Macaca mulatta: one gene and its partners. The main gene of each other region encodes a partner of the protein of the gene in region 2 in a complex. Links are inferred from orthologs where the notes say so. Each region holds a gene or a part of one and is shown on either strand. Other genes may lie near its edges.

The links.
Region 1: SNRPD2 (region 2) and ARMC7 share a complex: the UniProt entries of both Homo sapiens proteins name them as parts of the minor spliceosome. The link is inferred for Macaca mulatta from reciprocal best matches to the Homo sapiens genes SNRPD2 and ARMC7.
Region 3: SNRPD2 (region 2) and DHX16 share a complex: the UniProt entries of both Homo sapiens proteins name them as parts of the minor spliceosome. The link is inferred for Macaca mulatta from reciprocal best matches to the Homo sapiens genes SNRPD2 and DHX16.

What each region holds. Positions count from the first base shown.
Region 1 is NC_133421.1:84,789,374-84,799,312, reverse strand, and holds the start of ARMC7 (armadillo repeat-containing protein 7), read right to left. Parts: upstream 6,682-9,939; 5' UTR 6,609-6,681; coding exon 6,518-6,608; intron 6,435-6,517; coding exon 6,291-6,434; coding exon of another isoform or gene 6,259-6,290; exon of another isoform or gene 5,887-6,258; intron 5,586-5,886; exon of another isoform or gene 5,552-5,585; intron 3,363-5,551; exon of another isoform or gene 2,802-3,362; coding exon of another isoform or gene 2,788-2,801; exon of another isoform or gene 1,850-2,787; intron 1,744-1,849; exon of another isoform or gene 1,537-1,743; intron 1-1,536. UniProt on the Homo sapiens protein: As a component of the minor spliceosome, involved in the splicing of U12-type introns in pre-mRNAs.
Region 2 is NC_133424.1:58,222,888-58,232,826, forward strand, and holds SNRPD2 (small nuclear ribonucleoprotein Sm D2), read right to left. Parts: upstream 6,521-9,939; 5' UTR 6,417-6,520; coding exon 6,415-6,416; exon of another isoform or gene 5,682-6,414; intron 5,206-5,681; exon of another isoform or gene 5,110-5,205; intron 4,590-5,109; exon of another isoform or gene 4,273-4,589; intron 4,046-4,272; exon of another isoform or gene 3,932-4,045; intron 3,419-3,931; exon of another isoform or gene 3,284-3,418; coding exon 3,104-3,283; intron 2,468-3,103; coding exon of another isoform or gene 2,442-2,467; coding exon 2,267-2,441; 3' UTR 2,167-2,266; downstream 1-2,166. Other genes in the region: QPCTL (glutaminyl-peptide cyclotransferase-like protein), read left to right, coding at 7,231-7,437, 7,939-8,082. UniProt on the Homo sapiens protein: Plays a role in pre-mRNA splicing as a core component of the spliceosomal U1, U2, U4 and U5 small nuclear ribonucleoproteins (snRNPs), the building blocks of the spliceosome.
Region 3 is NC_133409.1:152,369,918-152,379,856, forward strand, and holds the start of DHX16 (pre-mRNA-splicing factor ATP-dependent RNA helicase DHX16), read left to right. Parts: upstream 1-4,717; coding exon 4,718-4,924; intron 4,925-6,327; coding exon 6,328-6,575; intron 6,576-6,658; coding exon 6,659-6,821; intron 6,822-7,161; coding exon 7,162-7,218; intron 7,219-9,939. UniProt on the Homo sapiens protein: Required for pre-mRNA splicing as a component of the spliceosome. Contributes to pre-mRNA splicing after spliceosome formation and prior to the first transesterification reaction.

The DNA of each region.
Region 1 (9,939 bases), on a different chromosome or scaffold from region 2:
CCATTTGGAGTAAACTCCTTCCTACCTTTCACTCCACAATCCTAGGAATTGGAACTCCTGTAAGGGCAGAAAAAGGGCCAAGGGAATAGCTTGTAGACTCTGACTGCTTTGGGTTTAAGTCTCAGGTCTGGTACTCTTTATTTTTTTGAGACGGAGTTTCACTCTTGTTGCCCAGGCTGGAGTGCAATGGTGCGATCTTGGCTCACCTCAACCCTGCTTCCTGGGTTCAAGCGATTCTCCTGCCTCAGCCTCCCGAGTAGCTGGGATTATAGGTGCGTACCACCGCGCCCAGCTAATTGTATTTTTAGTAGAGATGGGGTTTCTCCATGTTGGTCAGGTTGGTCTCAAACTCCCGACCTCTGGTGATCTGCCCACCTTGGCCTCCCAAAGTGCTGGGATTACAAGCATGAGCCACTGCGCCCGGCCTAGATCTGGTACTCTTTAAACCTTTGGCCAGCCCACGGAACCTCCCTAAGCCTCAAAGTCCTGATTGGAAAGAAGGCAGTGTAAGCACATCTACTTCAGTACTATCTCTAATGCACAAGAAGCAAGCGCCTGGCACCCAGTGGGTGCTCCCAAAGTGTGAGCTAATGCCATCCGTGATGGGGACACAACAGTACCGGGCCAGCAGCCAGGCTCTCCCCACCTAACATTGCCTGGGCACCCTCTGGGAGGCTGAGGATCGGCGTTCCTGTCATTCCGTGATGTTCTTCCAGAAGGTAAGAATTCCTGGAGCAGGGCCGGGCGCGGTGGCTCAAGCCTGTAATTCCAGCACTTTGGGAGGCCGAGACGGGCGGATCACGAGGTCAGGAGATCGAGACCATCCTGGCTAACACGGTGAAACCCCGTCTCTACTAAAAATACAAAAAAAAAAAAAAAAAAATAGCCGGGCGACGTGGCGGGCGCCTGTAGTCCCAGCTACTTGGGAGGCTGAGGCAGGAGAATGGCGTAAACCCAGGAGGCGGAGCTTGCAGTGAGCTGAGATCCGGCCACTGCACTCCAGCCTGGGCAGCAGAGCGAGACTCCGTCTCAAAAAAAAAAAAAAAAAAAAAAAAAGAATTCCTGGAGCAGATGAGTGGTTCCCTTGATAAGACGTTATCCCATCCCCCACCTCACCACTCTGGGAGAAGGGGCGACTGCTCACCCTCAAAGGGTTTTGGGTATCATTTGTCTTGGATGGCGACCAAGGGGATCCTGTCGAAGGCTGCAGACACTGACCCTAAAAGAGCACTGTAGTGCTTCATTCAATTCTCTCGATGTGAAGCAGCTGCTGGCACTGTCCCCATCTGACAGATGATTGGAGAAGAGCCCACACCCAGATGCCTGCCTGACCCCAAAGCCCAGCTCTCGTCCAACTCACTGTGCTGTTTGCCAACAAGCAGACATTTGTTTTGTTTGTTTTTGTAGGGACAGGGTTTTGCTATGTTGCCCAGGCTCCTCCCGAACTCCTGGGGACTCACGCAATCCTCTTGCTTCAGCCTCCCAGAATGCTGGGATTACAGGTATGAACCACCCTGCTCAACCAAGCAGATATGGGTTTTGGTTCTTTTTAAGAGACAGTCTCACTCTGTCACCCAGGCTGGAGTGCAGTGGCGTGACCTTGGCTCACTGAAATCTCTGTCTCCTGGTTCAAGTGACTCTTCTGCCTCAGCTTCCAAGCAGCTGGGACTACAGGTGCGCGCCACCATGCTCAGTTAATTTTTGTATTTTTAGTAGAGACGGGGTTTTGCCATGTTGGCCAGGCTGGTCTCAAACTGACCTTAAGTGATCCACCCGCCTCGGCCTCCCAAAGTGCTGGGATTACAGGTGTGAGCCACCTGAACCAACCCTGCTTAGGGGTGCTGCACCAAGTCATGGCCAGGACTCTACACTTACTAAGTGAAGATCCCTTGCTTTTCCTTCCCCTTCTCTCCTCCTCCCTAGGCCAAAAGGCCTAAGCACTCAAACCATGCAGACAGAAGCAAGGCCGGCTCGGGCTCAGGGAAGTCACAATCTCAGGGCTGCCACAGGGGATAAAAGACTCAAAGCTCCAAAGCGCAGCACGGAGCCTTCTCCGGAAACAGCAGAATAAGTGCCTGTCGGGGATCCCCAAGCAGAGACACTAAGAGAAAGGGAAACGATGCCAGTAAGAAAATACGCGGGGGCTCTCCTTCTCAGTTATGCATAATAAATATACGAGAAATTTCATCTGCAGAGGGTCCCACGGAGGGATTCCATGCTGAGAAAGCTACCGTGCTTGGGGCGGGGCGGGGCTTGCTCTGGCAGAAGAAGAGAAAAAAAGGAGGAAAAAACGGTTGGGAAAAGTAAAACTGGTGATAATGATCCCAACAATTCTAGATAAAGTAACAGCACAGAGGCGCAGATGCACAGACACACACACCCACACTTCTGCTCCCACAACCACCTGCGAGGCAGGCAAGGCAGGTGAGGAAACCACGCTCGGAGAAGGGACGGGAGTCAGCTAGGAATCAGCTGAAAAGTGGAGACGCTGGGGCTCAGTCACCCACGCGGGGAAGCTGCCCAGGGTGGCAAGAACCCAGGCCAGGCTCACGCCGCCCCCATAGCTCAGTGGACCCGGACCTCAGGGTACCCCTGTCCTGGGAAAGTTGCTTCCTGACCCTGAGGAAACGCCAGCAGGAAAGACCCCACTTGGTAAACATTTTTTGTGGGGACTGCTCTGTGACTTCCGCCAATTTTTCTCCAGGGTCAGCGGCTTGATTTGGAGGAGCTCTATTGCCCCCTGGTGGAGGTTTAGCCACATGCATCTGCAGGGGCCACAGTCACCATTCAGAAAGCAGCAGCTGTGTGTGGGGCAGAGGCATGAAAAGGGAGGGGACAGAGGACATTTTAGAGACCAACTTTTTAGAATATTTGTTTGGCATAATAATCTTCTAGAGGAGCTGGCATCACTCGGGGACCTGGGCAACTAGGGCTCCTGCGCTGGCTTGCCTTTAGCAGGCCCCACTCTGGTCCTCTGCAGGGCAGTAAGTCCAGGGAACTCACCCAAAGCCCAGGGCCGCCCTTCCCCTGTACCTGGAGCTCCAGGCCCTAAACCCGCTCCCACAGCCGCATGGGCCTCTTTCCTGGATCCTGACTCCCAAGGGTGAATGCCACCGTTGGTGTGTGCACTTCCAAACCCAGGGAGTGGCCAAGGGGCAGCTGTCTGTGGGGGTGTGAATCTGCCCACACATGTGCTGGAGCCCCCTCATGGAGAGAAGACCCTCATTTGTAGTCTAGTCCCAGGAACCTCCTCTCCTCTCCTCTTTAGAGGAGACCTGGGTGGTCTTTGAAAAATTTGAATCATACTTATAATAATGTATTTTTAAAAATGTGTTACTTGGGCCAGGCGTGGTGGCTCACGACTGTAACCCCAGCACTTTGGGAGGCTGAGGCGGGCGGATCACCTGAGGTCAGGAGTTTGAGGCCAGCCTGGCCAACATGATGAAACCCCATCTCTACTAAAAACACAAAAATTAGCCAGGCATGGTGGCGGGCGCCTGTAATCCCACCTGCTCGGGAGGTTGAAGCAGGAGAATTGCTTGAACCCAGGAGGCAGAGGTTGCAGTGAGCTGAGATCGCACCACCACATTCCAGCCTGGGTGACAGAGCAAGACTCCATCTCAAAAAATAAAATAAAATAAAATAGCCGGGCGCGGTGGCTCACGCCTGTAATCCCAGCACTTTGGGAGGCCGAGGCGGGCGGATCACAAGGTCAGGAGATCGAGACCACGGTGAAACCCCGTCTCTACTAAAAATACAAAAAATTAGCCAGGCGCGGTTGTGGGCGCCTGTAGTCCCAGCTACTCGGGAGGCTGAGGCAGGAGAATGGCGTGAACCCGGGAGGCGGAGCTTGCAGTGAGCCGAGATCGCGCCACTGCACTCCAGCCTGGGCGACAGAGCGAACTCCGTCTCAAAAAATAAATAAATAAATAAATAAATAAAATAAAATAAAATAAAATGTGTTACTTGATCCTATCAAGACTTTCAACCCAATTTCTAGATTATAGGAAATAAAGGGGATAAAGAAACAAACCACAAAGAGGCAATGAGACAAACCGGAAGGGGGAACATTTGCATTCCTGGTTGGGGCCTTCAAGAATCAGTGTTATGAAATGAGGGTCTGTTTAGGGTTACAAGCGATTTATCTCTTGGGGCCAGGAGTTCAAGACCAGTCTGGGCAAGACGGTGAGACCGTGTGTCGACAACAAATTAAAAAAAAAAAAAAAAAAAGCCGAGTTCGAGACCAGTCTGGGCAACACAGTGAGATCCTCTCGAAAACAAATTAAAAACAAAAAAAAGCCGGGCATGGTGGTGTCCACCTGTAGTCACAGCTACTCGGGAGGCTAAGGCAGGAAGACTGCTAGAGCCCAGAAGTTTAAATTTATGGTGAACTATGATCACACCACTGTACTCCAGCCTAAGTGACACAGTGAGACCCTATCTCAAAAAAAAGAAAAAGATTTAAGATAATTTATGTAGTGACTTCCTTCCAATGGGTATAATACATAATACGTAAAGAGGGGAAAGAAAGAGTAATTTTACAGTGGAGAAGCCTGACAAGACTTCAGCCAGGTGATCACGCGCGTGTTGCCCAGGCTGGAGTGCGGTGGCTATTTACAGGTGCAATCATGCAATCGTAGCACACTACAGCCTCAAACTCCTGGGCTCAAGCGATCCTCCTATCTGGGGCTACAGATGAGCACTGTGCATGGCTTGAAAAAGGGATTTTTGTTTGTTCTCAAAATTTTGTCTGCTTCAAACTATTTCCCACGGCCTAGATCTAAGCTCCGGCAAGCTCTGGTGCTGCTTAACTCTCTATCCTCTTTTTGTGCCATTCTCCACTTCACTATAACGATCCTGCCACATTCATCTTCCTTCTGGCTCCTTCCTGTTTTAAGGCCTTTGCCCATGCTGTGTCCCTGCTAAAATGCCTTTCTCATGATGGCCAAAACAGAAGTAACCACCACCTTCTACTGCTGTTTCTCATCACCCCATTTATTTGCTGCTGAGCATCATCTTTTTTGTTTGCTAACCACCTGTCCCCCCTACTAGAATGTAAGCTCCTGAGGGGCAAACACTTCCCCTAACTTGTTCACCATACTCCAGCATTTAGAGCAGTAGTTTACATATACGGTACATGCCCAGTAAATATCTGCCCAGTGAATAAATCAATAGGTCTTAAGATCATAACTACAAAAGAAGCCGTAAGTTACAGACTGCAAGCCATCTCTGCTTCTCCTGATATGAAAACACTAAATATGAGTTACTTTTGTTTCTAAGACAGATTCTCGTTCTGTCACCCAGGCTGGAGTACAGTGGCCCAATCCCAGCTCACTGCAGCCTCGTCCTCCAGGCTCAAGCAATCCTCCCACCTCAGCCTCCTGAGTAGCTGGGACACCACGCCAGACTAATTTTTTTTTTTTTTTTTTTTTTTTTAGCAGAGATGGGCTTTTGCCAGGCCGGTCTTGAACTCCGGGACTCAAGTGATCTGCCTGCTTCGGCCGCCCAAAGTGCTGACATTACAGGTGTGAGCCACCTCACCCACCTGAAATTGTTGTTGTTTTTTTTTTTGAGACGGAGTCTCGCTGTTGCCCAGGCTGGGGTGCAGTGGCGCCATCTCGGCTCACAGCAACCTCTGCCTACCGGGTTCAAGTGATTCTCCTGCCTCAGCCTCCCGAGTAGCTGGGATTACAGGCGCCCGCCACGCCCGGCTAATTTTTGTATTTTTAGTTAGAGACGGGGTTTCATCATGTTGGCCAGACTGGTCTCGAACTCCTGATCTCAGGTGATCCGCCTGCCTCGGGCTCCCAAAGTGCTGGGATTACAGGCGTGTGCCACCGCGCCTGGCTACAAAACTGCTCTTTTTAAAACATCTTTTTTTGAGACATGGTCTCACTCCGTCGCCCAGGCTGGAGTGCAGTGGCGCAGTCTCAGCTCACTTTGGCCTCTGCCTCCCGGACTCAAGCAATCCTCCTGCTTCGGCCTCCAGAGTAGCTGGGCCTACAGGTGCACACCACTGTGTGCGGCTAATTTTTGCTCCCGCTTAGCTGGGATTACAGGCACTCGCCACCATGCCCAGCTAATTTTTGTACTTTTAGTAGAGACGAGGTTTTGCCATGTTGGCCAGGCTGGTCTCGAACTCCTGACCTCAGGTGATCCCCCCGCCTCGGCTTCCCAAAGTGCTGGGATTACATGTGTGAGCCACCACGCCAGGCCCCAAGGACTCACTTGTAACTCACTTACCTCACCCCGGCCCATTTAGCCATCTAGCGAACGGGCCCAGCCCTTACCAATAGCAAACTCCACCAGGGTCTCGTTCTCCTCCGACAGCGAATCGAGAAATAAATCCAGGACCTGCAGCTGCCGCAGATACTCGTAGTTGCTGGGGTCATAAGCGAAGTTGGCGAGGTTGGCGAGGACTTGCTCCTTGGCGTCTGCAACGGGAAAGCGGCACTGGAGCCAGGTCCGGGCGGCGGTCACAGCCGACCCTGTCACCTGGTCCCACCGTGGCTCTCACCTTGGCTCTGGGTCTCCTGGAATTCCGTGACCAGCGCCTGCAGGTATCCCAAACGCCCGACGTGGGGGTCCAACTTCGGCTTCTGGGCCATGGCCGGCGTGACGGAGGACCCCCAGGGACGGGCGGGCGGGTGGGAAAGGTGCAGGGGGAAAGCCGAGCGAGACCCTCACCCACTCTCCACCTGTCTGGCGAGGGAAGACGCGGGGACGGCAAACGGGTTTCTTTCTTGGGTTCAGACTCTGCAGTAATTTGCAGCTGGAAATGGAATGTGGGGAGATGGGCCGGGGTCTCAGAATCCTGTAGGAGTTGGGTCTGAAAATCGAAATTGGGGCGCGGGAGACAGGGAACCGTCTGCGGGCTGGGGCTGGCGGAGTGGGTACTGGCGCCCAGCCCCCGGCTGCCGGGCTCGGTTCCAGGCTCCCGGCGGAAGCCGCGCTGTCCCCACCCTACAAGGCGCGGAAGGGGCGGGACGAGGCAGGCGAAGGGCGGGGCCGTCGCCGAACTCCTTGGCGCGCGTGCGCGGCGCGCTTTCGGTTTTCTGGCTGCGGAAGCTCTTTAGCCTGCGCTGGAACCCGCTGCGACACGCTTCGCCGAGGGAGGTATGGGCGTGGGTGGGTGTACTGCGAGGAGCAGCCTTGTCTCCCATATCCTATGTCCAGCTGCAAATTATTGCAAAATCTGAACGCAAGAAAGAAACCCACTTGCCGCCCCCGCCAACAGGAAGGCGGGTGAGGGCCTCTCTCGGCTTTCCCGCCCCACCTTTCCCACTCTCCCGCCCGGCCCCCCGGGTCCTCCGCCGCCCCGACGTGGCCCAGAAGCCGAAAGTGAGGCACCCATGTCGGGCGGCTGGAATGACGTGAGGAGCAACTCAGGAGCGCAACGGAGTCTGGCAGCACCCATGTTGGGAGGACGTCGAGGCAGAAGCACCTCCAGGATCCCCATGGCTGGCGGGGCGCCCCTTTAGAGCGCGGGCGTCAGCTCCTTACCCACCCCCATCAGTCTTTTGACCCTTTTGCAAAAAGCGTAGCGACCCCGACCCGTCCTCTATCCCAGCCCCGAGGTGAGTCCGCCACCTCTGGACAGAAATCAAAGGGGACGGGGTCATGTCCTGGTGCTTTTTGTCAGCCGGGTGGATGGCGCGCGCCCGGGGCAGCACCGGGGAGCCGGAGGAAGAGCCTTGTTTGTGGCGCTTTCGGGGCTTTCTGGATGCTGAAGCCCTTCGGCCGATTCCTTCTCGAGGATTCTCGGGAAGCAGGTGTGTGATGGATTACTACTCGTGGTTACAGGGAACAAAGCACCAGGGAAGGAGGTGGCCTTACTACACTCCCATCGCGTTTGACAACGTAGGGGTAGAGAGGTGGCTTAGGCTGTGAGTGTCCTGAGAATGCAAAAGTTGTTAATCTAATTGGAGTCACTTGTGTTAAAAAAACAGAACAAAAAAACCCGGACAGAGTCGGAGAAAACCATGACAAGAGGGTTCTCATGCATAAATATCTGATAATGAAAACTATCACAAAGATTCTGCAAAAACCCCAACCTTGCACAAAACATACTTTTGAATGGCCATCTGCCCAGCAACTTTCCTGTCCAACGTTGAACTGGTCACCCTTGTTACTAATTCTTCTACCTAAGGATAATTATCTCAAAACAATTATGTAATCCTATTTTTTCCCTTAAAGCCTTTCTTTCTTTACCTCCCTGAATACCCATATAGTTTACTATGGCATGGATACTACCTTTGCAATGCCCTATGCCCAAATAGATACTATTTTCTTTGAGAGAGCCTCTCCTATTAAGGTTGACAAAGGCAAGGACCATATCTTAAGTCCTGGGCCTGGGTGAAGGCAGAGTGGCCTACACGCTCCAGCCAGCTGCAGCCCCATTGGAAGCAGGCCTCACCTCTGAGGTTTCAGGTCCTTGTGGTCAGCCCCTGCCCTATGCACATCCTCTGACGCAGGAGTTTCGACCTTAGTCTGTGTGCCTAGGCCCGAGGACCCTCACCAAAGCCCTTTGGCTTCTATTGGGAGCCTCCGCAGCCTGGGAAGTGCATGTCACCCCAGGGTGCCCAAGGAGTTTTTCTGCCTCTTGCTGGACAGAGCAGCAAATAGGAGCCCAGAAATAGGGAGAATGGAAGTAAGCTCCATCCTCCCTGCCCGGGAACTGCCCCAGACCACCTCTAGAGGTTCGCAGGCCGTCAGCTAAGTGGGGATTGCAGAATCGATGGACCATCCCATCCTCCCTCATTGGTCTTCTCCCTTTTTTTTTTTTTTTTTTTTTTTTTTTGAGACGGAGTCTAGCTCTGTTGCCAGGCTGGAGTGCAGTGGCGATCTCGGCTCACTGCAACCTCTGCCTCCCGGGTTCAAGTGATTCTCCTGCCTCAGCCTCCCGAGTAGCTGGGATTACCAGCACGCACCACTGTGCCCAGCTAATTTTTGTATTTTTAGCAGAGACGGCGTTTCACCATGTTGGCCAGGACGGTCTCAATATCTTGACCTCGTGATCCACCTGCCTCAGCCTCTCAAAGTGCTGGGATTATAGGCATGAGCCACCATGCCCCGCCAGTCTTTTCCCTTTTTTTTTTTTTTTTTTTTTTTTTTTTTTTTGAGACGGAGTCTCGCTCTGTCGCCCAGGCTGGAGTGCAGTGGCCGGATCTCAGCTCACTGCAAGCTCCGCCTCCCGGGTTCATGCCATTCTCCGGCCTCAGCCTCCCGAGTAGCTGGGACTACAGGCGCCCGCCACCTCGCCCGGCTAGTTTTTTGTATTTCTTAATAGAGACGGGGTTTCACCGTGTTAGCCAGGATGGTTTCGATCTCCTGACCTCGTGATCCGCCCGTCTCAGCCTCCCAAAGTGCTGGGATTACAGGCTTGAGCCAATGCGCCCGGCCGTCTTTTCCCTTCTTAAGGCCTCAGGGAGGGGCCCTCCTTCTTGGGGTAGAATTCTCAGCCCTTGGTAGGTTTTACCTCTGCCCAGTCTCTGGCACACAGTAGATACTCAAGAAATATTTAGTGAAGGAATTCTGCCCAGAGATGATTGCTATTCTGCCTAGGAGCAGGTGAGATCAAAGTTTCCTGTGCAGAACACCCATTGATACCTTTTTTTTGGGGGGGGGCGGGGAATAAGGTCTCTCACCCAGGCTGGAGTGCAGTGGTGTGATCACAGCTCACTGCAACCTTGAACTTCCTGGCTCAAGGGATCCTCCCACCTCTGCCTCCTGAGTGGCTTGGACCACAGGCCTGTGCCACCATGTCCAGCTAATTTTAAAATTTTTTGGGCCGGGCGCGGTGGCTCAAACCTGTAATCCCAGCACTTTGGGAGGCCGAGATGGGCGGATCACGAGGTCAGGAGATCGAGACCATCCTGGCTAACCCGGTGAAACCCTGTCTCTACTAAAAAAATACAAAAAAACTAGCCGGGCGAGGTG
Region 2 (9,939 bases):
CAAGGTCAGGAGATTGAGACCATCCTGGTTAACACAGTGAAACTCCATCTCCACTAAAAATACAAAAAATTAGCCAGGCGTGGTGGTGGGCACCTGTAGTCCCAGCTACTCGGGAGGCTGAGGCAGGAGAATGGCATGAACCCAGGAGGCAGAGCTTGCAGTGAGCCGAGACTGCCCCACTGCACTCCAGCCTGGGCGACGGAGCGAGACTCCATCTCAAAAAAAAAAAAGGAGAGCTCCAGTATCTACCCCACAGATGGCTGTTTCCAATTAGATGTAGTAAATGCACACCTTTATAACCCCATAACCCACTGCTTTCTATATATCAGGCCTCTCTCTGCTGCAGGGTCCCAGCTCTGCCACAATGCTCACAGTGTATCTCAGGCCGTGCCTTTCTTTTCTTTTGTTTTTCTTTTCTTTTGAGATGGAGTCTAACTCTGTTGCCAGGCTGGAGTGCATCCATCAGGCTGGCATGCAGTTTCACCATGTTGGCCAGGATGGTCTTGATCTCTTGACCTCGTGATCCGCCTGTCTTGGCCTCCCAAAGTGCTGGGATTACAGGGTGTGAGGCACCGCGCCTGGCCCCAGGCTGTGCCTTTCACAGCTCAGAGTGGGCCACACACCTCACTGAGTGCGCACTGACCTCAGGGCTGCAAACTCTTGCACCTTTCAGGTGTTTGCCTATATCCAGAAGACACAGACATAGGCAGAGACAAAGATATGAGGGGAGGGCCTGCTGCAGTGGCTCACACCTGTAATCCCACCACTTTGGGAGGCCGAGGCAGGAGGATCACTTGAGCCCAGGAGTTCAAGACCAGTCTGGGTAACATAGCGAAATCCCATCTCTACAAAAAGCTGGCAGGAGGATCACTTGAGCCTGGGGGGGTCAAGGCTACAGTGAGCCATGATTGTGCCGCTGCACTCCAGCTTGGCAGACAGAATGAGACCCTGTCTCAAAAAAAAAAAAAAAAAAAAAAAAAAACCCCACAAAGATATGGGGAACACACGATGTGTGTGTCAGAGCAACACAGGGAACTTCCTTATCTCCCCCCCAATATATATACCACCTCCCCGCCTCCCTTTCCCACCTCCATCTATCTCCCCATATTTGTCAGAGAATTCCTCTCAAGGGTAATGCAGTTGAATTTGAGGGGCAGCAAAGCTCAGGGGTGAAGCCACAGGCTCAGGAGGTGAGTTTAAATCACAGTACCACCACTTCCTGGCTGGTTTGCCCCTGGAAAGTGACATCGTCTCTCTGTGTCTCAGTTCCTTCTTCTGGAAAAGGGGGAGAATAAATTAACAGGCCCACCCCAGAGCTGTTGGGAGGATGTTTGAAAAGTGTTAAGCCTGGCCTGATACCTAAACAGCTCAGCAAGTGTCAGTCAGGATCACTAGCAGTAATATTTAGCTACTGACTGCTTTCTTCTCTTTTTTTTTTCTTTTTGAGAGGGAGTCTTAGAATCTGTTGCCCAGGCTGAAGTGCAGTGGTGCAACCTCAGCTCAGTGCAACCTCTGTCTCCTGGTTCAAGCTATCCTCCTGCTTCAGCCTCCCAAGTAGCTGGGACCACAGGTGTACGCCACCATGCCTGGCTAATTTTGTATTTTTAGTAGAGACGGGGTTTCGCCACGTTGGCCAGGCTGGTCTCGAACTCCTGAGCTCAGGTGATCCACCCGCCTTGGCCTCCCAAAGTGCTGGGATTACAGGCGTGAGCCACTGCGCCTGGCCAATCTTTGTATTTTTAGTAGAGACAGCATTTCACCATGTTGGCCAGGCTGGTCTTGAATTCCCGATGTCAGGTGATTTGCCCGCCTCAGCCTCCCAAACTACTGGGATTACAGGCGTGAGCCACCATGCCTGGCCCCAAAAGATATTTTGGTCAAGCGAGGCCAATTCATTTTAAGAGGCAGAGAAGAGAGCAACAGAGTGACAAGGCGAAGCTCAGAAAGATTAAAGCAGGAGAACTAAAATATTCTCCAGTGCCACAACTGGGTGCTCATTTCCATCCAACCTGTTTGCTTTGCGGAGGGGGAAAGTGAGGCCTCGATGGGGCAGAGCCAGGGCCTCTCCACTTGCTCACGGGTCCTGGTCCCAGCATTCAATTTGATATTAGCTGCCTCCCCCAAGCCCTCCTGAATCCACCCCACTCACAAGGCTCTGGGAACACATACCACTAGAAAAAAACCACAGAGCTTTATTATTCTCAACACCAATGGCAATGGTCTTCATAGGACGAGAGAGTGAGTTCTGTCGATGGATAGGCAGCCCCTACTTGCCGGCGATGAGCGGGTTCCGCAGGACCACGATGACCGAGTCCCCACGCAGGAACATCTTGGAGATGTAGCGGTCTTTGTTGACTGGCTTGGATTTCTTCTTGCCCTTGCCGCTCTTAGGGACCTCAGTCCACATCTCCTTCACGTTCTCCAGCACCATGTTGCAGTGCCTGGTGGGGAACAGGGAGGGGAGGCACTGGGTGTGAGGGGGGTGCCTCTGACAGCGCTGCCTGCTGCTCGCCCCCTCCAGCAGCATGGCTTGGGGAAGGATGCAGGTGCTAGGCTGGATGACCAAGCTGCCAAGGCCAATTCTGCCAGTCCTTAGGTTGAGGCTGAGGCAAAGGACTGCACCTCTCTGTGCCAGTTTGTTCATCTTTAAGAGGGAAGACAATCACAGTACCTTCCTCACAAGGTCGTTGAATATTATCTTTTTTTTTCTTTTTTTTTTTTGAGACAGAGTGTCGCTCTGTTGCCCAGGCTGGAGTGCAGTGGTGCGATTTCAGCTCGCCGCAACCTCTGCCTCCTGGGTTCAGGCAATTCTCGTGCCTCGGCCTCCTGAGTAGCTGTGAATACAGGTGTGCACCACCACGCCCGGTTTTTATATTTTTAATAGAGATGCCGTTTCACCATGTTAGCCAGGCTAGTCTCGAACTCCTGACCTCAGGTGATCCACCCGCCTTGGCCTCCCAAAGTGCTGGAATTACAGGCATGAGCCACCACCCTGGGCCATACACCCCAGGCGTCTGAGAAACCTGTCTTTGAGCTCTTCAGACTGGAGCTAGGGCAGCCTCTCTAGGCCTGCACAGAACACCTCCCAGGACCCAGCACTCACCTATCGAAGGCCTTCACACGGCCCAGGAGTTTCTTATTGTTGCGACAGTTGATGAGCACTTGGGTGTTGTTCTTGACTGACTGAGTGAGCACAGAGAGTGGACCCGTGTTAAATTCCTCCTCCTCTCGCTTCTGCAGCTCCTCTGGGGTCATCTCACTCTTGGGCTTGTTGAGGAGGCTCCTGCATGGATAAACATGGAACCCACAAGTGAGAGAGGCTGGAGCTGTGAGGATGGGTGGTCAGGGCCTCAGCCTCAATGTCTCCCCAGCCTTGTCCCATCACATCCGTCCTGTTTGGCCTTCTGAGTATCACCAGCTGGATGCCTAACAGACATTTTCTTTTTCTTTTCTTTTTTTTTTTTTTTTGAGACAGAGTCTTGCTCTGTTGCCAGGCTAGAGTGCAGAGGCACGATCTCAGCTCACTGCAACCTCTGCCTCCTGGGTTCAAGCGATTCTCCTGCCTCAGCCTCCTGAGTAGCTGGGACTACAGGCGCGCGCCACCTCCACGCCCAGCTAATTTTTGTATTTTTAGTAGACAGTGGGTTTCACCACGTTGGCCAGGATGGTCTTGATTTCCTGACCTCGTGATCCACCCGCCTCGACCTCCCGAAGTGCTGAGATTACAGGTGTGAGCCACCGCGCTCAGCCAGACATTTTCAACTCTGCATGTCTCAGGTCGGGATCCAGATCACCCAACCACCGAAGCCTACCCTATCCACAGTGTTCCCCATCTGCCTTCTAGTTCTCTGGGCAAAAACTCTTTGTCAACTTGATTCCTCTTTTTCCCTTGCATCCTACAATAAATCTGTAGGAAGTGGCCATTTCTTACCATGGCCTCAGCCTCTGTCATCTCTGACCTGGAATCTTTCCGGTCTCTCTGCCTCCACCCATGTTCCCTGACAGTCTGTTCTCCACAGAGTGGTCTGAGGGGCTGTGCTAAAACCTAAATCATAACATGTCACTCTTCAAAGCCCTCCCAGGGGCTGGGTACGGTAGCTCATGCCTGTAATCCTAGCACTTTTGTGGTGCAGAGGTTGCGGTGAGCTGAGATCGCGCCACTGCACTCCACCCTGGCAACAGAGCAAGACTCCGTCTCAAAAAAAAAAAAAAAAAAAAAGAAAAGAAAAAAAAAGAAAATGTCTGTTAGGCATCCAGCTGGTGATGATTCACAAGGCGGGTGGATCACTTGACGTCAGGAGTTCGAGACCAGCCTGGCCAACACGGTGAAAACCCATCTCTACTAAAAATACAAACAAAACAAAAACAACAACAAAAAATTAGCCAGGCGTGGTGGTGCACGCCTGTAATCTCAGCTACTTGGTAGGTTCTGGCAGAAGAATCGCTTGAGCTCAGGAGTCGGAGATTGCAGTGAAGCGAGATCATGCCACTGCACTCCAGCCTGGGCAACAGAGCGAGACTCTGTCTCAAAAAATAAATAAATACAAATTAGAAAATACAAAAATTAGGCTGCATGTGATGGCTCACGCCTGTAATCCCAGCACTTTGGGAGGCCAAGGGGGGTGGATCGCCTGAGCTCAGGAGTTCCAGACCACCCAGGGCAACATGGTGAAACCCTGTCTCTACTAAAAATACAAAAAAATTAACGAGGTGTGGTGGCGCATGCCTCTAGTCCCAGCTACTTAGGAGGATGACGCAGGAGAATCGCTGTAGCCCCAGCAGCGAAGGTTGCAGTGAGCCAAGATTACACCACTGCACTCCAGCTTGGGTTACAGAGTAAGACTCCATCCCCCACCCCCAAAAAAAAAGTCGCTGGGCATGGTGGCGCATGCTTGTAATCCTAGCTACTTGGGAGGCTGAGGCAAGAAGATCACTTGAACCCAGGAGACAGAGATCGTGCTACTACACTCCAATCTGGGTGACAGAGCGAGATTCCATCTCAAACAAACAAAAGAAAATCCTCCCATGCCCCCCCGCCATCTCAGTGTAGAAAGTAAAACCCCGGCCAGGCATGGTGGCTCACGCCCGGCCAGGCACGGTGGCTCACGCCTGTAATGCCAGCACTTTGGAAGGTCGAGGCAGGTGGATCATTCGAGGTCAGGAGTTTGAGACCAGGTTGGCCAACATGGCGAAACCTGGTCTCTACTAAAAATATAAAAGTCAGCTGGGCATGGTGGTGGGTGCCTGTAATCCTAGCAACTCGGGAGGCTGAGGCAGGAGAATTGCTTCAACTCGGGAGGCAGAGGTTGCAGTGAGCTGAGATCGCACCATTGCACTCCAGCCTGAGCAACAGAGCAAGGCTATGTCTCGGGAAAAAAAAAAAAAGATTTTTTTTTTCCTTGGGAACAAAAGGTTTCATTCACTGATGTATCCTATGTGGCTTAAGCAGTGTCTGATACATAAACATTCAATGTAATATTTGGTGCACTAATAAATGAGCAAAATCATGCCAATCACTCGTTATCCCTTTAAGTTGTGAATTAGGTCGAAAACGCATCTGTCTCCAGCTCAAATGATCAGGAGAAGTCCCTTATTTCAAATCATTATTTCTAAAAGTCCTAACTTCCCTTCCCCAGTATTCGTTTTGATTTCTTTTGTTTCGTTTTGAGATGGAGTCTTACTCTTCGCTCAGGCTGGAAGTGTGCAGTGGTGCAATCTCGGCTCACTGCAACCTCCGTCTCCCGGGTTCAAGCGATTCTCCGGCCTCAGCCTCCCAAGTAGCTGGAATTACAGGGGCCCGACACTACTTCTGGCTAATTTTTGTATTTTTGGTAGACACGGGGTTTCACCACAATGGCCAGGCTGGTCTCAAACTCCTGACCTCAGGTGATCTGCCCGCCTCGGCCTCCCAAAGTGCCGGGATTTACAAACCTGAGCCACCGCGCCCGGCCTCCCCCAGTATTCGTAAAATCGCTGCCCCTTAACATTCACTTCAATAGGACTAATTATCTAGGACCCCCCTCCGTTATCGTTTAAAATATGTTTTTCATAATTAAAAAAAATTTTTTTTTGTAGAGACGGGGGTCTCGCTATGTTGCCTAGAGTAGTCTCGAAACTCCTGTGTTCTAGCGATGCTCCCGCCTTGGCCTACTAAAATGCTGGGATCACAGGCATGAGTCCCCGCGCCCAGCCCAGCGCGTTATCTGATAAAGCTGTCCCCTCTCCCGAAGTCACGATGCGTCAAAGGCCCCACGCCCGTTCTCAAACTCATCAGGAGAAAAGCAGGACGCTCCATCCCTAAAACATCTGCCCCTGTCCCCCACCCCGCTCTCTGCTCAACCCTTCCCACCCTCAATAGGTCAAAATTTCCACCCTCAACCTCCTTCCCGCCGCCTAAGCCTAGCCCGGCCTCACATGATGGTCACTAAGCTCTCCGTTCACTCCCGTTTCCTCCGCGTTGCTGCAGCCTGAGGCGAGAGAGGCGGGACTTCCTCTTCCTGCGACCCACTTCCGTTGGCGCCTGCGCAAAGCCAACCAGTAAGTGGAGGCGTGGCCTGTTGCCATAGCATTGCCCACCAACGGTGCACAATGAAAGAATAAAAGCCTCGAATAGGGGTTCGAGGCCAGTCAGAACCACACGGGGCAGATGTTTATGACAATGAAGACAAAAGGAAAGGCGGTCTGATTCAAACCGTTTCGTTGAAGAATGGTACAGGTTGAAGGAGGGAAATGACAAACTATTTCCAAATGCCCGCCGGCCGTGACTTCGGGGGCGCGGCCTCCGCTGAAGCCAATCCGCTCCTCGCTTCGGAGACAGGCACCGCCCCTCTTCCCTCTGGGACGGGTTATTGACGTATCTACTGATCTTTCCGACCCTGCGCCACCAATCCCCTGCCTACATCCGGGAGGGGCATGGACCTGCGCCCGAGAGATTGAATATTTTCCACGATCAAACGCTGCTCATTGGCTTTCCCCCTCCGCTAAGGCGGAGCCTATCTCTTTTGCGCTCCCTTTTGGGTCGTGCCATTCTCAGAAGAACCAACCCCAATACCCAAGGGAGGCCGGGAGGCGTGTCCTCAGGACCGTAGCTCTTATTGGTTTCGCTGCTCGCTGTGGGGTGGGCAGGTGCAGCCGCTGCTGTTGCTTATTGGCCCACTGATTCCATGGGGTGGAACTTGGCTGGGCCTAAACTCAATCGTGGTCTGGTACAGGTTTCAGGGCATAGCTGCCATGCGTTCCGGGGGCCGCGGGCGGCCCCGCCTGCGGCTAGGGGAACGTGGCGTTATGGAGCCACTCTTGCCCCCGAAGCGCCGCCTGCTACCGCGGGTTCGGCTCTTGCCCCTGTTGCTGGCGCTGGCCGTGGGCTCGGCGTTCTACACCATTTGGAGCGGCTGGCACCGCAGGACTGAGGAGCTGCCGCTGGGCCGGGAGCTGCGGGTGAGGCTGGGCGGGGACCCGGGCACCGCGGGGACCCTCATTCCCTCCCCGCTGTTACCCAGGGTTGACTTGGCTTTAGCGTACGGCCCTAACCGCAGATGCCACAGTCTTCGTCATCTGAGCGCATGACCCTTACCAAAGGAATAAGGCTTCGGGCTGGTTTTACAACAGTAGCTTCCTTTTATGAGGAAAGGTCTGAAATAGTAAGACGAGGGGGTTCAGGGTTCTACGCCTTTAGTCAACTATTTGGAAGAGTCCCTTCCTCCATCTCCCCTCTCTCTCACTGGGCCTCGATTTCCCCATCAAGTTTGAGGTAGGCTGGACCGGATGGTCTTGGAAGGACTTTTTCTGAGCCTTGGATTTATCCTAGAAGTCTCCGATGCTGGAGGCCGCAAATTAGAAAGAGGACCCGGGGCTGCTTGTGGGTGACGGCGCCCGGGGTAGGGATGAAATGGTGGGTTGCTCTCATTCTTCCCTTCCCTATCCCACCTCCTTCCCAAGGTCCCGTTGATCGGAAGCCTTCCCGAAGCCCGGCTGCGGAGGGTGGTGGGACAACTGGACCCACAGCGTCTCTGGGGCACTTATCTGCGCCCCCTGCTGGTTGTGCGAACCCCAGGCAGCCCGGGAAATCTCCAAGTCAGAAAGGTAAAGGGACCCACCTCCAGTCCCTGACCCCCTAGCCCTCCAGGGAATGGGAAATAAGCATCCTGTTCAAGATCCCAAAGGAGCTAAGAGGAGGAACTGGGGCAATGACTGGAGTTAATCGGACTCTAGACTCCCATGCTGAAAACAAACCACCAGGCTGTACTGCCCCCCTTAATGCCCCCACCAAAAGCTTACTATGTGCTAGGCATAGGCAACAGACAGCCCTTTAAGGTGGGTACCAATATGATCTTCATTATGCAGATGGGGAAATTGAGGCTCAGAGAGGTTATACACATTGCACAAATCCTACAGATAATAAATAGTAGACCTTAGCCTGGTGCACTGGCTCATGCCTGTAATCCCAGCACTTTGGGAAGCCAAGGTGGGGGAATCATCTGAGAACTTCGAGACTAGCCTAGTCAACATAGTGAGACCCAATGTTTAGAAAATCATAGACCTAGAGTTGAACCCAAGCAGGTTGGCTCCAACCTGGTGCTGTAATGTGAGTCATTTAAAGGCCAGGCACAGCAGCTCACACCTGTAATCCTAGCACTTTGGGAGGTCAAGACAGGCAGATCACTTGAGGTCAGGAATTTGAGACCAGCCTGGCCAACATCGTGAAACCCCATCTCTACTAAAAATACAAAATTAGCCAGGCGTGGTGGTGGGTAACTGTAGTCGCAGCTACTTGGGAGGCTGAGGCACGAGAATCACTTGAACCCGGGAGGCGGAGGCTTCAGTGAGCTGAGATTGCTCCACTGCACCCCAGCATGGGTGACAGAGCAAGACTCCATCTCAAAAAAAAAAAAAAAAAAGAGTCATTTAAATACTGCCTGAGTCCCAGTGCGACCTCATCCACTTAGATTGTGACCTTGGACTTGTTTCTTTTCTCTTTTCTTTTCTTTTTTTTTTTTTTGAGACGGAGTCTCACACTGTTGCTTGGGTTGGAGTGCAGTGGCGCAATCTCGGCTCACGGCAACCTCCACTTACCAGGTTCAAGTGATTCTCCTGCCTCAACCTCCTGAGTAGCTGGGATTACAGGTGCCCGCCACCACGTCTGGCTAATTTTTTTGTATTTTTAGTAGAGACGGGGTTTCACTATGTTGGCCAGGCTGGTGTTGAACGCCTGACCTCGTGATCCACCTGCCTCAGACCCCCAAAGTTCTGGGACTACAGGCGTGAGCCACCGCGCCCAGCCCGAACTAGTTTCTTAACCTCTCTGAGCCCATTTCCTCATCTGCAAAATGGGATCATGTATCGGCAGTCCCTCCCCTTTATGGTTCCGAGAAGAGAGCTTAGCACACAGTGAGAGCTATTTAAGGGTAAGCTATGCCGGGCGCGGTGGCTCACGCCTGTAATCCCAGCACTTTGGGAGGCCGAGGCGGGCGGATCACAAGGTCAGGAGATAGAGACCACGGTGAAACCCCGTTTCTACTAAAAATACAAAAAATTAGCCGGGCGCGGTGGCGGGCGCCTGTAGTCCCAGCTACTCAGGAGGCTGAGGCAGGAGAATGGCGTGAACCCGGGAGGCGGAGCTTGCAGTGAGCCGAGATTGCGCCACTGCACTCCAGCCTGGGCGACAGAGCGAGACTCTGTCTCAAAAAAAAAAAAAAAAAAAAAAAAGGGTAAGCTGTGATGAGTCTTGTTGGCTTCAAGAGGCGGGGTCACCCCAACATCTGGCACCCAGTAGGTACTCACCAGGACTGTCAAGGGAATGATTTTAATCACAGTAGGGGACTGGGCACAGTGGCTCACACCTATAGTCCCAGCACTTTGGGAGGCTGAAGCAGGCAGATCACTTGAGGTCAGGAATTTGATACCAGGCTGGCCAACATTGTGAAACCTCATCTCTTCTAA
Region 3 (9,939 bases), on a different chromosome or scaffold from region 2:
TTGGGATTTAAGCACTCATGTCTCTCGAGGCCCAGAGCCCACTCCATTTATAGGCACATCTCCCTCATTTCCTAGGTCACTGCCCCTTTGTTTACAGCTCCTGCCTCCTCCTTGACCACAGCCTGGTTTACAAATTCCACCAGCTCCCAGCCCCACCTGCCAAAGTCCCAGGTTTACAAGCCACGCTTACTTGCTGTGTCTGCGTGGAATTCTTTCCTCTCTCCCCTCCAGTCTTCTCATTGGAGTGACCTGAAGGTGTGGCTTCCTCCACTTTTTCTCAGTATTACTTTGCCTTAGTTTTCCCCAAGAGGGAAGGCTGGAAATCTTAACTCTGTACCTGTTGATACTTATTTAATTCTGTTTCTCCTAGTGGTTCACAATTGAACTGAATTGAGATGGTGTCGGGTGGCTAAGGAGACCCCTCACCTCTCCTCCCCCATTGTGCCGCCTTTATCAATTGCCTGTCTTGTTTTGTTTTGTTTTTTAACTTTCCATAATAAAATGGAGTTCTCTCCAACTCGTCTGCTTCTCCTTTAGAAAAAAAAAAAAAAAACACGAGTATGTGAGGGGAGGTTCTGGTGGCTGGGGGAGAGGAAAATGATGGGGGATGAACCAGGAACTCGGCACTGACATGTCAAAAGGGGTCTGGGAAGCTGCGCATGGGTTTCACGCAGGACAAGCAGGTGACATGAGAAAGGGCAGTTGAAGTGTCCACTAGACTGGAAGTGCCATGAGGACTGACTACATCAGCTGGGTTCACTGCAACATCCCATACCTGTCAACTAGTAGACACGAAATTATTTCTAGAATGAATGACAACGAATGAATAGAAGAAAAGGGTTAAAATATTGCAGAGGACACTTCGAGTTGAAGGATTCTAGGATTTAGAAGCCTGCGCCATGCAGGCAGCTAGGTAGTATATGACACACAACCCATGTGGCTAATCCAGGGATATGTACTTCAAGAGTTGGGGCTATGAATAGTAAATCTGAAATTACTGCAAAATGAAGTAACTATGTACAAGAGTCGGTTTCCTGGAAAAGGTTCTCTGAAAGACAATGGATTTTATATCACTGGGCGCAGTGGCTTACGCCTGTAATCCCAGCACTTTGGGAGGCCGAGGCAGGTGGATCATGAGGTCAGGAGATCGAGACCATCCTGGCTAACACGGTGAAACCCCATCTCTACTAAAAATACAAAAAAATACAAAAAGCAGGCCGGGCGCGGTGGCTCAAGCCTGTAATCCCAGCACTTTGGGAGGCCGAGATGGGCGGATCACGAGGTCAGGAGATCGAGACCATCCTGGCTAACACAGTGAAACCCCGTCTCTACTAAGAAATACAAAAAATAGCCGGGCGAGGTGGCAGCGCCTGTAGTCCCAGCTACTCGGGCGGCTGAGGCTGGAGAATGGCCTGAACCCGGGAGGCGGAGCTTGCAGTGAGCTGAGATCCGGCCACTGCACTCCAGCCTGGGCTACAGAGCGAGACTCCGTCTCAAAAAAAAAAAAAAAAAAAAAAAAAAAATACAAAAAGCTAGCCGGACATGGTGGCAGGCACCTGTAGTCCCAGTTACTCAGGAGGCTGAGGCGAGAGAATGGCGTGAACCCAGGAGGTGGAGCTTGCAGTGAGCCGAGATCGCGCCACTGCACTCCAGCCTGGGCGACAGAGCGAGATTCCATCTCAAAAAAAAAAAAGGTTTAAAAAGCCTTGATAATGCATGGCTTTGGTGCCCATATAGTTGATATTCGGGATTTTCCCATTTCAAAGAGTATCTTATACAAATGTGGAACATCAATATTTTATTCATCAGGTATTTTTATTTGTTAGTTGTTAGCTCTCCAGGCTAAGAAAGATATGGTTGAATAGTTAGAGTCCTTCTACCACTATAAGTTGCTACTCTCAGACTGGTCAGAGGAGGCTCCAGGCCTTTACTATAAAACAAAATGTATCAGACAAATTGATCTTAAGCATATGCCAAAGGGTTTCAATTTACTAGCAAGAGAACGAGCCCAGTGTCAAAAGACAGCCAGTTGGGAGGAAGTCTGGGAAGGGAAGGAAACAGAATGATTATATTAGCAGCCTGTTAGGTAAAGGTCTTAATAAGTTTCCAGTTGTGACCCAGGAAAACAGAGTTAGGAAGCTCTGAGATGCCAGGAGTGCCCACAGTCCATCTCAGAAACAGAAAACAATGCATTCAAGAAGTCAGGCCAGGCGTGGTGCCTCACGCCTGTAATCCTAACACTTTGGGAGGCCAAGGCGGGTGGATTGCCTGAGCTGAGGAGTTCGAGACCAGCCTGGGCAACACGGTGAAACCCCGTCTCTACTAAAATACAAAAAATTAGCTGGATGTGGTGGCACGTGCCTGTAGTCGCAGGTACTCAGGAAGCAGAGGCAGGAGAATCGCTTGAACCTGAGAGGTGGAGGTTGCAGTGGGCCAAGATCACGCCACTGTACTCCAGCCTGGGCGACAGAGTGAGACTCTGAGACTCCCTCTCCAAAAAAAAAAAAAAAAAAAAAAAAAAGTCAGTGATGTAGATCCACTTGTGACTATTAATAAGAACAATGTTTCATTTCCTAACAGTAATGCCTGGTAACTGCAATTAATCATAAAAGTGTGATGCAAGGTCAAACAAATCAGACAGCAGAGCATCAAGAGACAAATTCAGCTTTTTTTTTTTTTTTTTTTTTTGAGGCATAGTCTTGGTCTGTCGCCTAGATTGGAGAGCCTGATCTCGGCTCACTGCAATCTCTGGCTCCTGGGCTGAAGAGATTCTCCTGTCTCAGGCCCGGCGCGGTGGCTCACACCTGTAATCCCAGCACTTTGGGAGGCTGAGGCAGGCAGATCATGAGGTCAGGAGTTCGGGACCAGCCTGACCAACATGGTAAAATCCCGTCTCTACTAAAAATACAAAAGTAAGCAGGGCGTGATGGCACGTGCCTATTGCGCCTGTAATCCCAGCTACTCCAGAGGCTGAGGCAGGAGAATCACTTGAACCTGGGAGGCGGAGGTTGCAGTGAGCCAAGATCGTGCCTCTGCACTCCAGTCTGGGCAACAGAGCAAGACTCCGTCTCCAAAAAAATAAAAATAAAAAATAAAAGATTCTCTTGTCTCAGCCTCCAGAGTAGCTGGGACTACAGATGCACACCTCCACACCTGGCTAATTTTTTGTAGAGATGGCAGGGTCTCACCATGTTGCCCAGGCTGGTCTCAAACCCCTGTTCTCAAGAGATCCTCCTGCCTCAGCCTCCCAAAGTGCTGGGATTATAGGAAGAGCCACTGCACCTGGCCTTGCTTACTTTTAAATAAGCAGCCACCAGTGATTTTCTCAAGATGTTAGCAAAAATGCAGAAAACAGTTTGCCTGTTCCTTAGTTTGGAGATTTTGTCTTTAACAATTTTCCTGGGCTGGGCGCGGTGGCTCAAGCCTGTAATCCCAGCACTTTGGGAGGCCGAGACGGGCGGATCACAAGGTCAGGAGATCGAGACCATCCTGGTTAATACGGTGAAACCCCGTCTCTACGAAAAAGTACAAAAAACTAGCCGGGCGAGGTGGCGGGCGCCTGTAGTCCCAGCTACTTGGGAGGCTGAGGCAGGAGAATGGCGTGAACCCGGGAGGCGGAGCTTGCAGTGAGCTGAGATCCGGCCACTGTGCTCCAGCCTGGGTGACAGAGCGAGACTCCGTCTCAAAAAAAAAAAAAAAAAAAAAAAAAAAAAAAAAAAAAATTTTCCCCAGTTCCCCAGTTTCTTCCTGCCTAGAGGTCTTCCCTTATGCCTGACCTGTCTTCACTCCTGCTGCAGGCAAACCAATCCTAGCAAAGGTCACTTTTTTGTTTGTTTGAGACAGAGTCTTCCTCTGTCGCTCAGGCTGGAGTGCAGTGGTGGGATCTCGGTTCACTGCAAGCTCCGCTTCGCAGGTACAAACGATTCTCCTGCCTCAGCCTCCCGAGTACCTGGGGCTGCAGGCGCACGCCACCACACCCGGCTAATTTTTATATTTTTAGTAGAGACAGGGTTTAGCCATCTTGGCCAGGCTGGCCTCGAACTCCTGACCTCAAGTGATCTGCCCGTCTTGGCTTCCCAAAGTGCTGGGATTACAGGCGTGAGCCACCGCGCCCGGCCAACACGGCTAATATGCTTCATGAGCATGGACCCCATCTTCCAATCTGAAATAGAATTTCGGTTGTCCCTTACTTTGCAGAGTTTTTGGCGCTATAAAACTTCCATACTTTATTTATTATGTATCCTGTCCCTCCCCCACCGCAAAATGTAAATTTGGTAAGGAACTTTTGATTTGTCCTCTGCTAGATCCCAGCGACGGAAAGCAATGAGCACACATTAGGCCTCCATTAAATTGATTTCACTTGTTGAATGAATGCGTTAGGGAAGCACTCACGGACTGACCATCAGGGGGCGTCAGAGAAACTGGATAGAGGCGGAAATGAAGAAAAAAGAATTACTCCGAACTTTCAGGCATGGTTCCGCGAGGTTTGAACTCGCTCGGCCACCGTAGTGCTTAGAGGCCGGAAAAAGTGCAGCCCCTTCCGGGCTTTGCGGTACCGGACGACGGCTTTGGGATGTCGGAAATTGATCCTAGAGGTCCCAAGGTAGCCGCCTTGCGAAGCTGAGGCTCCAGCCGAGGGCTCCAGGCCTCCGACTGGCCCAGCAGTGAACGGGGCTGCCCGACGCTTCAGGGCTGGGAGCAGGGAGCGTGGGTCGCCATGGCGACGCCGGCGGGGCTGGAGCGCTGGGTTCAGGACGAGCTGCACTCGGTGTTGGGGCTGAGCGAGCGGCACGTCGCCCAGTTCCTGATCGGTACTGCACAGCGCTGCACGTCGGCCGAGGAGTTCGTGCAGCGCCTACGAGACACTGATACTTTGGATCTCAGTGGGCCGGCCCGGGACTTCGCCCTGAGACTCTGGAACAAGGTGTCGGCAGGGTGGGGAGGGGTCCTGTGATTTGTCCCGATGAGGCTGGCCTAACGGTCCATCGAGGAGTTAAGAAAGCTCAGTTCACAAGCACTTATTCTTTGTCCGTTGTCGCCTAGGTACTGTGCTAGCTGCTGGACGCCCAGCTCAGTGGAGAAGATTGAGGAGGGCTTAGGTGTGTCGGGTTAAACGCAATAGAACGGTGTTTTTCGAACTCTTAACATGCATCCAGGGCCCTTGTTAAAATGCAGATTGCGATTCAGTAGGGATCTTAGTTTCTGCATTTCTTTCTTTTTCTTTCTTTCTTTCCTTTTTTTTTTTTTTTGAGAGACACAGCCTCGCTCGCCCTGTCGCCCAGGCTGGAGTGCGGTCATAAGATCACGGCTCACTACAGCGTCGATCTCCCTGGCTGAAGCGACCCTCCCATCTCATCTTCCCCAGTAGCTGGGACTATGGGCATGCGCCACCACCCCCGGCTAATATCTTTCATTTTTATTTTTATTTTTAGAGACGAGGCCTTGGTGTGTTGCGCAGGCTGGTCTCTAACTCCTCAGCTCAAGCAGTCCTCCTCTCTCAGCCCCGCAAAGTGCTGGGATTACAGGCGTGAGCCACCTTGCCCGTCCCCCCTCAGCTTCTGAACTTCCTTTCAGCCGTTTAATTAACAGAGGAGGCCCGGTGCAGTGGCTCACACCTGTAATCCCAGCACCCCAGAAGGCTGAGGCAGGAGGATCATTTGAGCCCAGGAGTTCGAGACCAGCCTGGGCAACATAGTGAAACCTCCCTACAAAAAATTTAAAAATTAATTGGGCGTTGTAGTGTGCACCTGTGTTTCCAGCTACTTAGGAGCCTGAGGTGGGAGGATCACTTGAGCCCAAGAGGGACAGAGTGAAACCCTGTCTGTAAAAAAAGCCAAAAAGCTGTGGGCCCCATTCAGGATGATAAACATGGGGTGAAGCCATGAGGAAGACAGAATGAAGGCTGGTTAGCTGGTTTAAAACTAAGTAATTGTGCCCGGGTGCGGTGGCTCACGCCTGTAATCCCAGCACTTTGGGAGGCCCAGGCAACTGGATCATGAGGTCAGGAGTTTGAGACCAACCTGGCCAACATGGTGAAACCTCATCTCTACTAAAAATACAGAAATTAGTCAGGTGTGGTGGCAGGCGCCTGTAATCCCAGCTACTTGGGAGGCTGAGGCAGGAGAATTGCTTGAACCTAGGAGGTGGAGGTTGAAGTGAGCCGAGATCACACCATTGCACTCCAGCTCCGGGTGACAGACCAAGACTCCATCTCGGCGGGCGGGGGGAGACTAAGTAATTGCTTAAATTAGGAACAGAGCTAGAGCTAAGTGGGAGGGCAGAGATCAGGAGTTGCTCAGACCTCCTTATCTTCCCCTCTACTGACAGGTACCACGAAAGGCAGTGGTAGAAAAGCCAGCGCGGGCAGCAGAGCGAGAGGCCCGAGCCCTGCTGGAGAAGAACCGATCTTATAGGTTGTTGGAAGACAGTGAAGAGAGCAGTGAGGAGACTGTGAGTAGGGCTGGAAGCAGCCTCCAGAAGAAACGTAAAAAGCGGAAACACCTCAGGAAGAAGCGTGAGGAAGAGGAGGAAGAAGAGGAGGAAGAGGCTTCTGAGAAAGGGAAGAAGAAAACAGGGTAAGTCAGAAGCAGGGCGAGGGAGGATGGGGCAGGCTGAAGTGTGCTCGATGCCCTTATTTAATCCCCTGGATGGGCTGCAGGGGGAGTAAACAGCAGACAGAGAAGCCAGAGTCAGAAGATGAGTGGGAACGGACAGAGCGTGAGCGCCTTCAGGACCTGGAGGAGCGTGATGCCTTTGCTGAGAGGGTTCGACAGCGGGACAAGGATCGGACTCGAAATGTCCTGGAGCGGTCAGACAAGAAGGTGAACAGGAGCAGCACGTTCTGTAAATCCCCAAGATCCCAGGGTGAAATGTGAGGTTGGCTGTGATTGCAGAGATGGTGATCTCTGGGAAGACAAGGGGCTTTCTCTAGTGAGATGTTCACCTCTGTGGGGAGAGATGAGGTGAGAGAAGCCCTGTGCATCCTGTGGCTAAGGCAACTCTCTACTGTATCTGCAATCGTACAGATCCCTCACTGAGAGGGGACATTTTTTGTGTTAGGGTACATCTGAATGATCCTTGTGATTCTAAAGAGGAGCAGCTGTCAGTGTGGGGGCTCTTTGGCCTCACACCCCTCCATTCTTGTTTTTTTTTTTTTTCTAGGCTTATGAAGAAGCTCAGAAGCGCCTCAAGATGGCCGAGGAGGACCGGAAGGCCATGGTGAGTCCCAGGGCCCAGGGAGCCAAGATCAGAAGACAAAAGGGAAGACCGTCTGATAGAGTGGTTACGTATAGGGAGAGAGAATACAGAGGAAGCACGGTGTGGATGCTGATGGAGTGGTCAGGTCTCTAGAGGAGGGGCTTGGTTGTCAGGAGCCAGCTGAGGACAGACTTATGTTGTCGAGGGAAGGAGCCCTCTTAAGTTGTAGGGGAAAGGAGGCTACCCATAAGTCCTCCTTGACTCTTAACTTTAGGATCAAACATACTCTATTAGTGAATGAAGTTGTGAGCTTTCCCTATTCCTGAGTCCTAATGAGATGTGAGGCAGCTGGAATGTTGTCAAGAAGGTTGCTGGAGGACAAGGGCAGGGCGGCAGTCCCACTGTACAGGAATATGCTAACCATTCAGCTTAGGTACACCATCTCCAAATACCTTCCCACCACCTAATTCTTGCACCCCTTATATGGCTTTGTGATCTCCCTGTGTCTTCTCACTGGACAGGGGCAGAGCCCTCATAATTCATAAACTGGATTTTTTATGGTATGAAACTAGGTAGGGTAAGCTGTTTTCCAAAGGCCTGGTCTTGTCAAGTAAAGTCACACTTAGATTCCCCAATAGAATTTTGAGACACTTCGAGCTCCTTTTTTTTTTCTTACCTTTTTTCTTTTTTTTGAAATGGAGAGGGGCACACGCTGTCCTGTCGCCCAGGATGGAGTGCAATGACGCGATCTCGGCTCACTGCAACCTCTGCCTCCCGGGTAGCTGGGATTACAGAAGCACACCACCACACCTGGCTAATTTTTTTTTATCTTTAGTAGAGACGAGGTTTCACCGTGTTGGCCAGGGTGGTCTCGAACCCCTGACCTTGTGATCCACCCACCTTGGCCTCCCAAAGAGCTGGAATTATAAGCGTGAGCCACCGTGCCCTGCCTTCTTTTTGTTTGTTTTATTTTTAATTTTTATTTATTTATTTATTTTTGAGGTGGAGTCTCACTCTGTTGCCAGGCTGGAGTGTGGTGGCGTGATCTCAGCTCACTGTAACCTCTGCCTCCCTGGTGGAGGAATCAAGTGATTCTCCTGCCTCAGCCTCCCGAGTAGCTGGGACTACAGACCCGCACCACCACACTCGGCTAATTTTTTGTATTCTTAGTAGAGAGGGGGTTTCATCATGTTGGCCAGGATGGTCTTGATCTCTTGACTTTGTGATCTGCCCGCCTTGGCCTTCCAAAGTGTTGGGATTACAGGCCTGAGCCACCACGCCTGGCCCTTTTTACTTTTTAAATTTTATTTATTTATTTATTTATTTATTTTTATTTATTTTTTTGAGACGGAGTCTCTCTCTGTCCCCAAGGCTGGAGTGCATAAGTGTGATCTTGGCTCGCTACAAGCTCCGCCTCCCGGGTTCATCCCAATCTCCTGCCTCAGCCTCCCGAGTAGCTGGGACTACAGGCGCCTGCCACCACGCCCGGCTAATGTGTTTTGTATTTTTTTAGTAGAGACAGGGTTTCACCGTGTTAGCCAGGATGATCTTGATCTCCTGACCTCGTGATCCGACCACCTCGGCCTCCCAAAGTGCTAGGATTACAGGCGTGAGCCACCACACCCAGCCTTTTATTTATTTATTTTTTTGAGACAGAGTTTTGCACTTGTTGCCCAGGCTGGAGTACAATGGCGTGATCTTGGCTCACTGCAACCTCTGCCTCCCAGGTTCAAGCGATTCTCCTGCCTCATCTTCCAGAGTAGCTGGGATTATAGGCATGAGCTATCTCGCCTGGCTAATTCTGTGGAGACAGGGTTTCTCCATGTCGGTCAGGCTGGTCTTGAACTCCTGACTTCAGGTGATCCACCTGCCTCGGCTTCCCAAAGTGCTAGGATTACAGGCGTGAGCCACCGTGTGCCTGGCCTACTCTTGGAGGTCTCTCCTGACCAATTTATCTCATATCTCTTCCTGAAATTGACTGTGGTTAGGCTTCTGAGACATCTCAATGCAGTTGTAGTGGTGGTGGTGGTGGTACTGTTTTGGCCTGAATTTAATTTTTCTTTTTTTTTCTTTCTTTTTTTTTTCTTGAGACGGAGTCTCGTTCTGTTGCCCAGGCTGGAGTGCAGTGGCATGATCTCAGCTCACTGCAACCTCTGCCTCCCGGGTTCAAGTGATTCTCCTGCCTCAACCTCCCAAGTAGCTGGGACTACAGACATCCACCAGCATGCCCGGCTTACTTTTGTATGTTTAGTAGAGACGCAGTTTCGCCATGTTGGCCAGTCTGATCTCAAACTCCTGACCTTAGGTGATCCATCCCCCTCGGCCTCCCAAAGTGTTAGGATTACAGGCGTGAGCCACTGTGCCCAGCTGTAATTTTTCTTTTTCAATTACAAAAATATTTAAGCACATAGGGAAGTTGAAAGAATAGAAAAAAGAACACTCATATACACTATTCAGTTTGAAAAATGGTTAATACTGTGGGCAATATTTGCATTGTCTTTGTAAATGTGGTATGTTCTTTTCAGATCATTTAAAAGAGTCTTAGACATCATAGCATTTTATCTCTAAGTACATCAGTATGTACCTGCTAAGGATAAAGACATTGTCCTCTAAAATCAGAATGCTCTTGTCACAGTCAGGAAGTTGAACAGCAATTCTTACGTATCGACTAAGATCTCTGTACAAACAAAGATTCCCTCATTACCCCCAAAATAACTTTAATGACTGCTTTTTCCTAACAAT